Linked DNA regions of Bombyx mori. The protein of the gene in region 2 binds, or shares a complex with, the protein of the main gene of each other region. Links are inferred from orthologs where the notes say so. Each region holds a gene or a part of one and is shown on either strand. Other genes may lie near its edges.

The links.
Region 1: the proteins of Tim10 (region 2) and mitochondrial import inner membrane translocase subunit Tim9A are in contact, whole or in part, in a crystal structure (PDB 2BSK), measured with the Homo sapiens proteins. The link is inferred for Bombyx mori from reciprocal best matches to the Homo sapiens genes TIMM10 and TIMM9. Residues at the interface, in NP_036588.1 of Homo sapiens: Glu16, Met17, Asp20, Met21, Arg24, Ala28, Cys29, Lys32, Cys50, Arg53, Cys54, Ser56, Lys57, Tyr58, Asp60, Ile61, His62, Arg64, Met65, Gly66, Lys68, Leu69, Leu72; in NP_001291414.1 of Homo sapiens: Lys15, Leu18, Gly19, Tyr21, Asn22, Lys23, Thr25, Glu26, Cys28, Phe29, Leu30, Val33, Asp35, Phe36, Thr37, Thr38, Arg39, Glu40, Val41, Glu45, Thr46, Glu50, Leu53, Leu57.
Region 3: the proteins of Tim10 (region 2) and acylglycerol kinase, mitochondrial are in contact, whole or in part, in a cryo-EM structure (PDB 7CGP), measured with the Homo sapiens proteins. The link is inferred for Bombyx mori from reciprocal best matches to the Homo sapiens genes TIMM10 and AGK. Residues at the interface, in NP_036588.1 of Homo sapiens: Glu40, Glu42, Leu43, Ser44, Lys45, Gly46, Ser48, Arg53; in NP_060708.1 of Homo sapiens: Phe49, Gly50, Asn51, Gln52, Leu53, Ile54, Pro55, Pro56, Val60, Ser91, Gly92, Met93, Asp94, Val95.

Annotation. Positions count from the first base shown.
Region 1 is NC_085124.1:8,580,191-8,583,500, reverse strand, and holds mitochondrial import inner membrane translocase subunit Tim9A, read right to left. Parts: upstream 2,049-3,310; 5' UTR 1,934-2,048; coding exon 1,889-1,933; intron 1,693-1,888; coding exon 1,597-1,692; intron 890-1,596; coding exon 755-889; 3' UTR 618-754; downstream 1-617. Other genes in the region: 26S protease regulatory subunit 6B, read left to right, coding at 2,852-2,884, 2,959-3,051. UniProt on the Homo sapiens protein: Mitochondrial intermembrane chaperone that participates in the import and insertion of multi-pass transmembrane proteins into the mitochondrial inner membrane.
Region 2 is NC_085130.1:5,899,621-5,903,963, reverse strand, and holds Tim10 (mitochondrial intermembrane space translocase subunit Tim10), read left to right. Parts: upstream 1-1,399; 5' UTR 1,400-1,529; intron 1,530-2,386; 5' UTR 2,387-2,549; intron 2,550-2,887; 5' UTR 2,888-2,930; coding exon 2,931-3,072; intron 3,073-3,889; coding exon 3,890-4,029; 3' UTR 4,030-4,088; downstream 4,089-4,343.
Region 3 is NC_085118.1:2,014,739-2,018,867, forward strand, and holds the start of acylglycerol kinase, mitochondrial, read right to left. Parts: upstream 2,947-4,129; 5' UTR 2,563-2,946; coding exon 2,453-2,562; intron 2,174-2,452; coding exon 1,993-2,173; intron 940-1,992; coding exon 822-939; intron 1-821. UniProt on the Homo sapiens protein: Lipid kinase that can phosphorylate both monoacylglycerol and diacylglycerol to form lysophosphatidic acid (LPA) and phosphatidic acid (PA), respectively. Does not phosphorylate sphingosine. Phosphorylates ceramide.

The DNA.
Region 1 (3,310 bases), on a different chromosome or scaffold from region 2:
AGTGCGAGTTTTTTAACGTTCTCCATAGCATAAAAGTTAGGTAACTCAAATTTGTATGTAGTTGAAAACGTTTGCCTACGTTTGCCGCTAGGGGCGCTGTTCGAACTGCCTACAAATATGAGTTAACTTTTTCGCTATTGATTGATTCGCTAAGCACACTGACCTCACAAAGTGATCATCTCTGTCTATAAATGGATTAACTCAAAAGATTTCATGGTAAAAAGAAAATAAAATGTATTGTATGTAAAACAGCTCCTTATAAAGCTAGTGATTTCTAATCTAGCAACGAGTAGTATGATGATAAAATAGACAGGTAATGATATATCAGATCCGTGAAGCAATGCCACGGTGCAGGCAGTGGCAGCTTTGGAACCAAAAAATAAATATGTCATGCTTCCATTTTGAATTTCGAAATTAATAATTATGATTAGTCTATGAAAGTTACAATTTAGCAAATTAATGAATTTCCATATCAATTACTATCAAAAATTAGAATAAATTCATCAAAAACACGAATTGAACTTTTTCATGATAATCTTACATAACACAACCAAGTGTGACAGTAATTCACTATTAGTGAATTTGAAAATAATGATAAGCAATGAAAAACAAAGAATCTGTCTAACAGAACTTTATTGACAACAATTTAGACATACACTGTACATTTGCACAAGTATATCATTATATAGGGTGTGCTTTCTCTTACTACACCTTAAAGAAAATGACTAGATAAGTCACAAATATACCATACTTTTTAACTAGGGTTACCAGATTTTTGTGCTAATGCTAACATGTTTTCATTGGCAAGCATTTGGAACTCATGGAATCTTTGTGAAACCCTCTGATTCATTCGTAGATATTTCTCCATACAGTTGACAGTGCATTTGTCCTAAAAGATAACACATTTCAATCAGTGATCTATGTAATGAAACACCCATTTTCATTTAACATTCCCACTAACTGCTATCCTGCTTTAATAATCACAGGGATACAATGCTCACCTGTCAAATGTAATAAAAGCCAAAAATAATAATTACTTGAACTATTTGTCAACAAATGCCACAAAATGAGAATAAAGAAAAAACTCATTAATATTCATGAGATAACACTGAATCTGGTGACTCTGTACATTAAAGAAAAAAATGAAATAAAGAATTATAGAAGCCAGCAGTTCCTGTAATTATTTTCTGCCAGTCTCTATTTGGCTGTCCATATTCAGTGCTCCAGATCTACTGTATACATTTACATGTAGTTTTTCACAGACAGATGGGCAGATTACAGATTTTGAACAGAACATAAGGTTTCTTACATTAAAATCATATGCTGCAAATGGTATTTTTAACAGTGATTGAAAGTTATATTTCAAATGATATAATTAACAAGAAAGTAACTGCTGTATTCAATTTTGACACTTAAATTGCTGAACTAATTTTGAAAATTCAGGGAAAATAGTATTATATCAGGGAAAGTAATAAGCTTATATTCCTCTAAGAATTAAGCTACATTTCATGCCACCGTGGAACACACATAAAAGAGCGTTACACGGGGGCAAAGTAACAGACGAAAATATAGTTAACTAATCGAGCTATTCCTTACCTCGGTAGATTTTAAAGTCCTCGACGTAAAATCATGAATGCAATCATTGAAACAAAGTTCAGACAGCTTGTTGTATTGTACAAGGAAATCCTTGAACTGAAATGAAATTTGAAAAAAATTAAATTTTCTACTGAAATTTGAAAACACTAAACAAAATGTACCGGCATATAGATGATAATTATTGGAGAAATGTTAAAGAATTTAAGAAATTAAATTATATTTTTAAATAAGTGGAATAATTCAGAAATAACATTATTTAACAAATTATTTCGTGAAAATACTAAATATTTACAGTTTTAATTTGATCAACTTCACTCATCATTTCAGGGGTCGCCATTTCTGTATATCTTCAAGAAAAGTTTAGAACAGTGTGATTGTTTAGTATTTTTACAATATTTATATTAAATCTAAATATTTATTTAATATTTTTATGAATTATTGTAATGTTTCAATTTTAGGTTAGATTAGAAGCCTTTTTTATTTTGTTGTACCATTTGACAGGCAAAGGTATAGCGAATGTACAGACTAAAAAAGCCAAATATTAAGATTATGAATTCACTATTTGACTTGACTATGACTTGACCTTAAACAGACACGTAGTAACTATTATACCAATCTGTGGGCAGAGCGCGGTCTGCATCTGGACCGCCGCGCCGACCCATGTTATACGTTTCGCGTTTCCAACATTATAAAAATTGAAAGTTGATCTTGGAAGATTGCATGCATTCGTATGCTTGACTCATTTAATTTTTGTCAATATGCACAATGTCAATATTTAGAAAAAAATGGCCTCACATAACTTCTTATGTATTTTCCAGAGCTTCCATTGCAGTTTGTAATTAACTGAGGTACCTATGTCATTTTATTGATTTTTTTTGTTTCAGAGTCATTTCCAATTTTGGTTTATTTCATTCTATTTAATTTTACTTTTCTTTTGAAAGGGTTCACTTCATTCTAATGAAACACGAAATAATTATTTAACCATTTCATTTAAAAAAAGCTATTAGAGTGATATGACTACATTTCCTTTGCCTATCAACTAAGAACAAACTACACATCTTAAAAAGTTTGCGCTACGAAATGTCAAAAATCATTGAATTGCAGTTTTAGACAGAAAGAATTAAAATAACCAAATAATAACTAGGTACGAATGTTCAGGTTTGATCGTCTACTACACTTTGTCTCTGTGTAAAACACATTTCAGATAATCAAATAATAATCAGATAGTACACGAAATCTCTTAGCTATAGAAACAATGGAAGAGATTGGAATTATTTTACCCGAGAAAGTAAGTATTCAAAAAAAGGCTTACTAATCGAATAACTGTAACACAACCTTTACACATAATATTGAACTTTTTAGGATGACCAAGTCACAGACTCAAAAGGCTTGGCGTTTGCTGGTCCTCAATCTTTTGATGAACTCGAATCTGAAGATTTATACACAAAGTACAAGGTAAGTGAAACAAGTTTATAAACTCCACTAAAACTATTCATTTTCACCAATAAGTAAATGTATGAGATGCCACCCACCTTGAGACATCAGTTCCATACTACAGTGGCTGCCCTGCCGTTCAAACCAGAATAAATCTTGTGCTAGTAACATCAAGATAGCCATGAGCCCATTAGCCCATTAAGGAAAAAAACTGCATGGTTTTCTTTAGCCACTAGTAGTAGTTACCTACTGAGTTTCTCACTAGTGGGTCACGATTGTG
Region 2 (4,343 bases):
TCGTTTCCTTTCTTTTCATTTAAAGTTCGCTCTAACTGTTGGATACACCAACATAACTCGAGCTGAAACTGTCGTAACGATTCCTCGGGGTCTACACCTTCGGACTCATGTTTATCAATTTTACAAGGTTTCTGTAAAGATGTCGATTTGCCTTTATTGTGCAATCTTGTTGGTTTAGGCATTTTATTTATGATATTTTATATCGCCACGTTTTGAAACTTTGTTAATTCCAGAGAAGTTTTGATGAAGTGTAATCTGTGTATTATTATAATAACGGATGTATGTAACGTTCTCTTTGTAGTAACGAAACCAAGTCAACAGAGGACACTAACTTGGAAAAAACTGAAAACAAATTTATAGCATAGATAATTAAGTAGCATTTAGATCGGGTGCACATTGTCATTCCTGCCGGCACCAGTTTATTGTCTATGGTTGATACAGACTGTCCCGGTGACTATTTTATTTATTTATTATTGTACAATATATGCAATGCGATAGATTTTTATTTTAGACTAGCTGACCCGGCAGACCTCGTAGTGCTTCAATCGTTAAATAAAAGACCTAAACTTTTGTATAAAATAAACTTAAAACAAACAGCAGGAGTCCGTCCGACGGGGGACACATCAAAGGAAAAACAAATTGTTATTTTTATTTAATTCCAAGCATTTTCATATTTATCTACCTTTCAAACCTTCTCTGGACTTCCACAAATAACTCAAGACCAAAATTAGCCAAATCAGTCAAGCCGTTCTCGAGTTTTAGCGAGACTAACGAACAGCAATTCATTTATATATATATAAGATACGATAAGATAAGATAAGATAGATAGAAGATAGATTAAAGGTATTAAAAACTAAACTTCGCATTATGCCAATAGTTTGATGAATCGTTCGAATTAATTCTCTTCTGTACGTGTTATCAAATAAACCGGCCCAACCGATACGAATGAGTATTTCCGTCCGGGCTTAACATAGACAAATATTTTGAAGAAAAAAAATGTTTGCCAGGGAAGACCGCTGATGATTCTAATAATTCCTCAAATTTCTCATTAATATTAAGTTTAAACGAATCTTGTGTCTAATTTATATTTATGTACTCTATTATGGCAGATTAATCTCTACATTGGAAATCTGTAAGCTTAGCTCAAAAAATTTTATACCAAAAAGTTCACAAAGTTTAATTTATAATTAATAATTTTATTATTTAATTAATTTAATAGTTAATTTATGTATAATATAATTAATATAGCAGATTTTTCATAAAAACCCGTTCCTATGTAATGTTCCTCCTTTTAGTCGATACGCGCCTGCAATATTTCTTTACAATCATACGATCACATAGCGACATCCGGCTGTGACATAACGTTTTAAAAATTGGTACTAAAACGTAACCTTAAAGTTGTAAAAGCAATTCCAAAATTTCATAGTATGCCGCTTGGAAAATTTGGAAAAATTACTCTTTCGTGGTAAATAACTAAATAAGATATACCCAAGTTTATCACCAGCTTACTTTTGATTTACCTTTCGTTGGTGAGCGCAGAATTAAATTCGATTTTACTCATTTCATCATTCGTCTATTTAGCCAAGTTCTATTTTGTGTAAATATAATTCTACAAGATAAGTCAATTACCTATCACAGCGTATTATTATGCTCGCCTTTTATTACTTATTAATAAGAAAACATGAAAATTAAGTTATATACTCCACAACCTTGACTCTCATGTGTCTTCAGCCACAAGAAATCCATCAAAAATAACGTCATAACTTTGGAATAAACGTTAAAAGCGAAGATCTTCGAGCAAGCGGGTTTCATTTCTAGGGTAGACCCACGATCTTTTGTAAATATGCATACTTATCTTGGAAATGTTGTTAATGCGATTCAGTTATTTTGGAAATTACTTATAGTCTATGTTACCTTATACTACTACGCAAATACAAGACGAATCTGTATTCTAAATGAATTTGAACTCACGTTTATGCATTTAGATTAAAACTAGTGGATTTTATATGCATATTTTGTGGATTCTAACTTAATTAAAACTTGATAAGTCTAGTTTCTGAGATAAGTAGCTGTTATCGGCTGTTTCGCCTGTGGCGTTATAGAAATGTGTCAATTTAGTTTCCTGTGGGTATGAGATGTTTTTTTGGAATAAAAATCTCCTGACCTAAAACTATGTCAAAAAAATCATGTTAATTTATTGCTTCATTTTAAAGTGAATTAAAGACAGACAAGCACACTTTTTAATTTATACCATTAGTATCAACGTGTATGATGTAGTATGATTTTATTAATTAAGCTTAGTTATTTTATGTTACACGTTTCACAAATGTTCCAGACCCATTAGCAGAGAGAGGATGTTTTAACCCAGGATCGGTGTTAATTTCAGGTTAGCAATAACAACAGCAAGTTTATCATTATTCGTGGTGGCGAAGAACTACATTAATACTCAGCGTGTTGAGAATATGAAAGCAAGAGAACGCATGCGAAGATCTAATCAAGGAGAATACCCTGACTTGTATCGGAAATTGTGAACTTGAATTCATTATAATGTGAGTATCTCTCTAGTAACTCTAGAAAATACTGGTGAGTAACACTAAATTAACTGGTGATAGGACCTCATGTGAGTCCTCATGGTTAGGTACCACCACCCTGCATATTTCTACCGGGAGCAGTAATGAGTTTCGGTTTGAAGATTGGGGCAGTCGTCCTAACTATAGTGAGAGCTTTGAACCCATATCTCAAGGTGGGTGGCGGCATTTACGTTGTAAATGTCTGGACTCCAGATACAACTTAACACCAAGTGGGCTGTGATCTCGTCCGACTAACTAAGAAAAAAATTTGTATACAGTGTATGAATGTAACTAAAAAATATTTTAATCTACTGTAGTTTCCAGATATACCATTGAACATTACTTAGTTAAAACGTAAAGATGGCAGTACCGCAGCTAGACCCTGCAAAGCTGCAATTGGTGCAGGAACTGGAGATTGAGATGATGTCCGACATGTACAACCGCTTGGTGAGCGCATGTCACCGGAAGTGCATACCAATTAAATATCATGAACCTGAATTAGGTAAGCCAGGCAAAAAAAAATATGGCGAACATTATAATTATAGGGACCTTCAAAATTGTATTCATTGTGACACACAAATGGTTTATTAAACTGTGGTCGTCGTGGCCTAAAGGATAAGACGTCCGGTGAATTCGTATGTAGCGATGCATCGGTGTTAGAATCCCACCAGTAGTTACCAATTTTTCAATCAAATACATACTTAACAAATGTTCGCGATTGACTTCCATGATGAACGAATAATATCAAATAAAAAGTGTAATAGAAATCAAACCCGCAAAATTATAATTTGCATAATTACTGGTGGTAGGACGTCTTGTGAGCCCACTCAGATAGGTACCATCACCCCACCTATTTCTGCCGTGAAGCAGTAATGCGTTTCGGTTTGAAGGGCGGGGCAGCTGTACTGTTAAAAGTGACACCTTACAACTCATGTCTCAAGGTGTGTGGCGGCATTTACGTTCTAGATGTCTATGGGCTCCGGTAACCACTTAACACCCGGTGGGCCGTCTATCTAAGCAATAAAAAAGAAAAGAAAGATAATTATGACCTTCAATGTCCATTTGTTTCTTTTTAAGCCATCACACTTATGAAGTTTATGACCTATAGTTTATAATTATTATTATAAGCTAAGCTTTAGGGTTATACACTGTTACAGGACATCTACAAATACAAAAATATATAGATGATATAAAGATAGGTGATATTTAGAAAACTGATGTAGCATATGCTTTTAAAATAGATACAAGTATTTAAGAGATTTAATTGCCTCGCTTATATAGGATGAGTTAATTTTGAACATGATCTTCTCTTCTTACAGGAAAAGGCGAATCTGTATGTTTAGATCGCTGTGTAGCCAAATACTTGGACGTACATGAACGCATAGGTAAGAAACTTTCCAATATGTCACAAGGAGAAACCGAAGATCTCACAAAGGTCAACATACCAGACAAAAAATAGTACGAAGCTACTACTCACGACAAATCAATCAGTTGCTAGATTTTTCACAGTGACCAGTACAAGACATCTGCAGATTTGAGATATTTTGTTGTGAAAAATTTGCAGTAATATATAGGTGAAGTAGTCTTTCTATATATAATATTAATTCTGCCATTATGTCAGTACTTCACTATGAGAAAACAATCTACTATCACTAGTAATCTCGAGAGATTATGCTACCTTGGTCATCTACCCTAACAAGGGCAGTGCTTCACTTGTGACGTTTGGGAAATAATGTTACTCAATTTTGTCTGTGTAGTTCAAAATTCAAATTT
Region 3 (4,129 bases), on a different chromosome or scaffold from region 2:
GTACTTAATACAGAGTAAACATAACTTTTTTGAACTGAATTTGTTAGAGATTTAGCTGCATTTGTTATAACATGAAAACACTAAAGCATGTTCAACTAACTAAACAAGATAGAGCCATTGTTAATACATTTTACGACATTATGGCGTTTAGCTGCCTTTGATTTTATAGGCCTCAAATATATATATGTTTTTAGGATACAATTTATTCAGAAAAATTATCTAATTATTATTATTCACTCAAAATTTAAATCATAACAGTCCCCACTGTGGCCTCCATTTACAGAGTATTCCAAGGCAATGTATAATGAATATAAGTCGTCGTAGCCCAAAGGATAAGACGTCCGGTGCATTCGTATCTAACGATGCACGGGTGTTCGAATCCCGCAGGCGGGTACCAATTTTTCTATTGAAATACGTACTTCACAAATGTTCATGATTGACTTCCACAGTGAAGGAATAACATGTAATAAAAATCAAACCCGCAAAAATTCTAATTTGCCTAATTACTGGTGGTAGAACCTCTTGTGCTGCCGTGATGCAGTAATGCGTTTCGGTTTGAAGGGTGGGGCAGCCGTTGTAACTATACTGAGACCTTTGAACTCATATCTCAAGGTGGTTGGCGCATTTACGTTGTAGATGTCTATGGGCTCCAGCAACCACTTTAAATCAGGTGGGCTGTGAGCTCATCCACCCATCTAAGCAATAAAAAAAAGAAAAAGAATAATGTACATATATAATAGCTCCGTATGTAGCATTTGTAGGAAATAAGAAATAAAAATATTCAGCTTGAACTTTCATGTGTAATGCAAACACATTCTTACCAGTTACAGTCTCAGACAAAGTACCATCTCCTCCTGCAACAATAATAGCTTCAGTACCCCTTAATGTTTCTACAATTTCTTTTGCATTTCCTTCTGAAGCTGTTTGCACAACATCTACCTGAAAAGTTTGTGATTGTTGTATAGTTGTGCTAAGCACATGGGTCATGTGTCAAGGAGAATGGTATTCATGAATTGAATCCATCAAACTATTTCTACTTGTGGTAAGACATCTTGTAAGTCTCTGTGTGGGTAGGTACCACCACCCTGCCTATTTTTTGCTGAGAAGCAGTAATGCAATTTGGTTTGAAGGGTGGGGCAGTCATTGTACTGTAAAAATGAAGACTTTAGAACGCATATCTCAAGGTAGGTAGCTAGATTTACATTGTAGATGTGTATAGGCTTCGTTAGCCACTTAACACCAGGTGGTCCGTGAGCTCATCCATCCATAGAGCAATTAAAGCTATGGGCTGTAAATATATTGATTTGAATTAGATGAAAATATTGATCTAGATTAAAGAAGCGAAATCTTTACATTTTATTTCAGATTTTTATCAAATATATGTAACATAAAATGCAAATTCTTTATACAGTAGACCAGCACTAATTTAATATGCCTGTAACTGGATCATATCAGGTCTGGATCATATCATTTAGATTAAGAGACATATTGCTTAATATGTGACATTTATCTTTGTAAATAAAGCTAATGAAATAGCCTTTTACCCCTCAATATAAATTAATTCTGTTAAATTTTCATTAATGCATGTTTGAACTATGTATACAACATAATTCAAACCCCATTGCAAGACATTTGTCTAATGACAGATCAAATGTATAAACAATTTATTGAAAACTAGTTGACCTAGCACTTTTTAGTGCCTCAATCGATAAATAAAATACCTAAGCTTTTGTATAAAATAAACTTAGAACAAACAAATGGAATCCATCCAACAGGGGGGACATATCAAAGGAAAAAAGTGCTATTTTTATTCAATTTTGAGTATTTTCATATTTATCTACCTTTTAAACCTTCTCTGGATTTCCACAAATAATTTAAGACCAAAATTAGCCAAATCGGTCCAGTCGTTCTCTATTTTAGCGAGACTAACGAACAGCAATTCATTTATATATATATATATATAGAATAGATATAGAAGATAGAAGATTATACCTGTAAACCACCTAATAATAGCAATGGTTCACAATATTTCTCAAATTCTTGTTTTGCTTTCCTCTTGTTGGCTACAGGGTTGAGAATAACTGTTATGACTGTGGGGTTTCTTTCGATGGGCAGGAGAGCTTCGCCGTAAATTGCAGCCTCTTTACATGCTGCTCGCATAAGTATATTAATTCTGTTGACAATACATAAACTAGATTTTTTAAACTTAAGTGGTAGGCGCACAGGTGATAAAGGGGCGATTAACTTGGCTGGACAGTTAAAGTGTTGGTCAAATCTTTAGTAGTAGATAGCACATAAGCTGTGGTTCTGGAAATGCTTGTAGTGAGTAGGTACGGTAGCTGCATAACATCAGTTTGGTTCGTATGACTGCCATGGTGAAGAGATGAAAACTTTTTTTGTGAATTAGTAACTCAGTTACAAAATTTAGTTTTTAATTTGAAATTTTACGCACTCATATTTTTCTTTTGCAGTCGCACTAGCGTAGTATATAGCGACTGCACCAAGGACTGATTTCTTCCAATTGTTTCGTATTGTTTTGGCAAACTTCGCTATTCTTTCCATTTTTTTGCATTAAATCGAATAAATCAAACTATAAACATAAACATTTAAGGTTATAGAACTTACAGATCAGCTGTATAATTCTACTTTTTTTTTCAGAATGGCAATCGGCTTCTGGCCATGTCCTTGTTGAGCTGTTTAAAATTTATTGTTTTGTTTTGTTTATTTCGTCTATTCACATAGGAACGAAGTTGGTGAATTGTTTTATTTTGTTAATTTTGCTGTTCTTCAGGCTTCAATGTAATTACCATCCCATCTGTGAAAGCACACAAATGTGGTAAAATGAACAAAGCTGCTGTGCTGAAAAAGTCAACTCAAAAACTAAAAAGTCTCGTAAAATTTATTCTATTTCATCTTGTTTCCTTTTATTTCATCCCAATTGATTAAATGCTATTTCACTATTTATTTTTTTCATAATCTATGACTCGAAAGTCTTTTTATGCCATTAGGACTTTTTGGCGGGAACGCGAGGAGTGAAGTTGTGTGATTTGTTTTATTTTGTCTATTTAGTGTCTCTTCAGGTTTAAATGTGTAATAATGGTGGTTTATTAACTGTTTAATATCTGTGAAAGTGCACAAATGTGGGAAAATGAAACAAAGCTGCTGGACGTAACTTCTCGGGTTCCTTCAAAAAGACCACTGAAAAAATCTCAGTAAATGACCACCATTTTACTGCGATTATATTTCATCCCATATCATTTCATTTCATTAAATTTCATCCCAGTTGCTTAATGTCTCATTAATCATCTTCATTTCATTCCACTCCATATTATCATTTTTCATAAAATTAAGAATATAAAGTAAAATAAGACATGACTTAAAGGTCTTAGTTACCAGGTCATAAAATCTCTTAAAAAAAAAAAGTTTATGCCATTAAAATTCCTAAAAAAAAAGTCAATGACAGGTAAAGGAAAAGTAGCTCATACAGTCAAATCCTGGTCGCTCTGCCAAAGCGAAATTTTTGTTGTATAAAAAGTGAAATAGCATGGAAATGAAATTGAGAGGAATAAAATGAAACAATATGAATCCGGTGACATAGGTCAACAACGTAGGTGCAAGATGGGATAAAATAAAATAATCACCGAGTAAAATTATAAAATTTTGATGAATCATAAAAAGAACCTGAGAAGTCAAGTGCAGCTTCATTTTCCCGCAATTTGTGTAGATGTGACCTATGTAGATACTAAACGGTTGATATTGGTCTAGTATTTTTTTTATTACATATCTAAATTTAAGAAGAAACATTAAATTGAGAATATAATAGTAAATCCTTCAGTAATTTTTTGGTGTTCCCGCTAAAAAATTCCAAAATCATGTCATTAAATTGTTACCAGAGTAATCAATTCCTCACAATTCAATTTAATGTGTTCCAATGATTTCACATGCACAATCGATCAATGGGGATGTAAAATATCACTTTATCCATTTTTTTTATCGCTATAAATATTATTTACTTGCATGAAAATTAAATGATGAGTTTTCCGTTGTCAGAAATTAGAAGAATGTGCACATAAAATCGATTTTAACTCAAACTATGACGAAACCATTAAATAATCGAAGTGCAGCACTA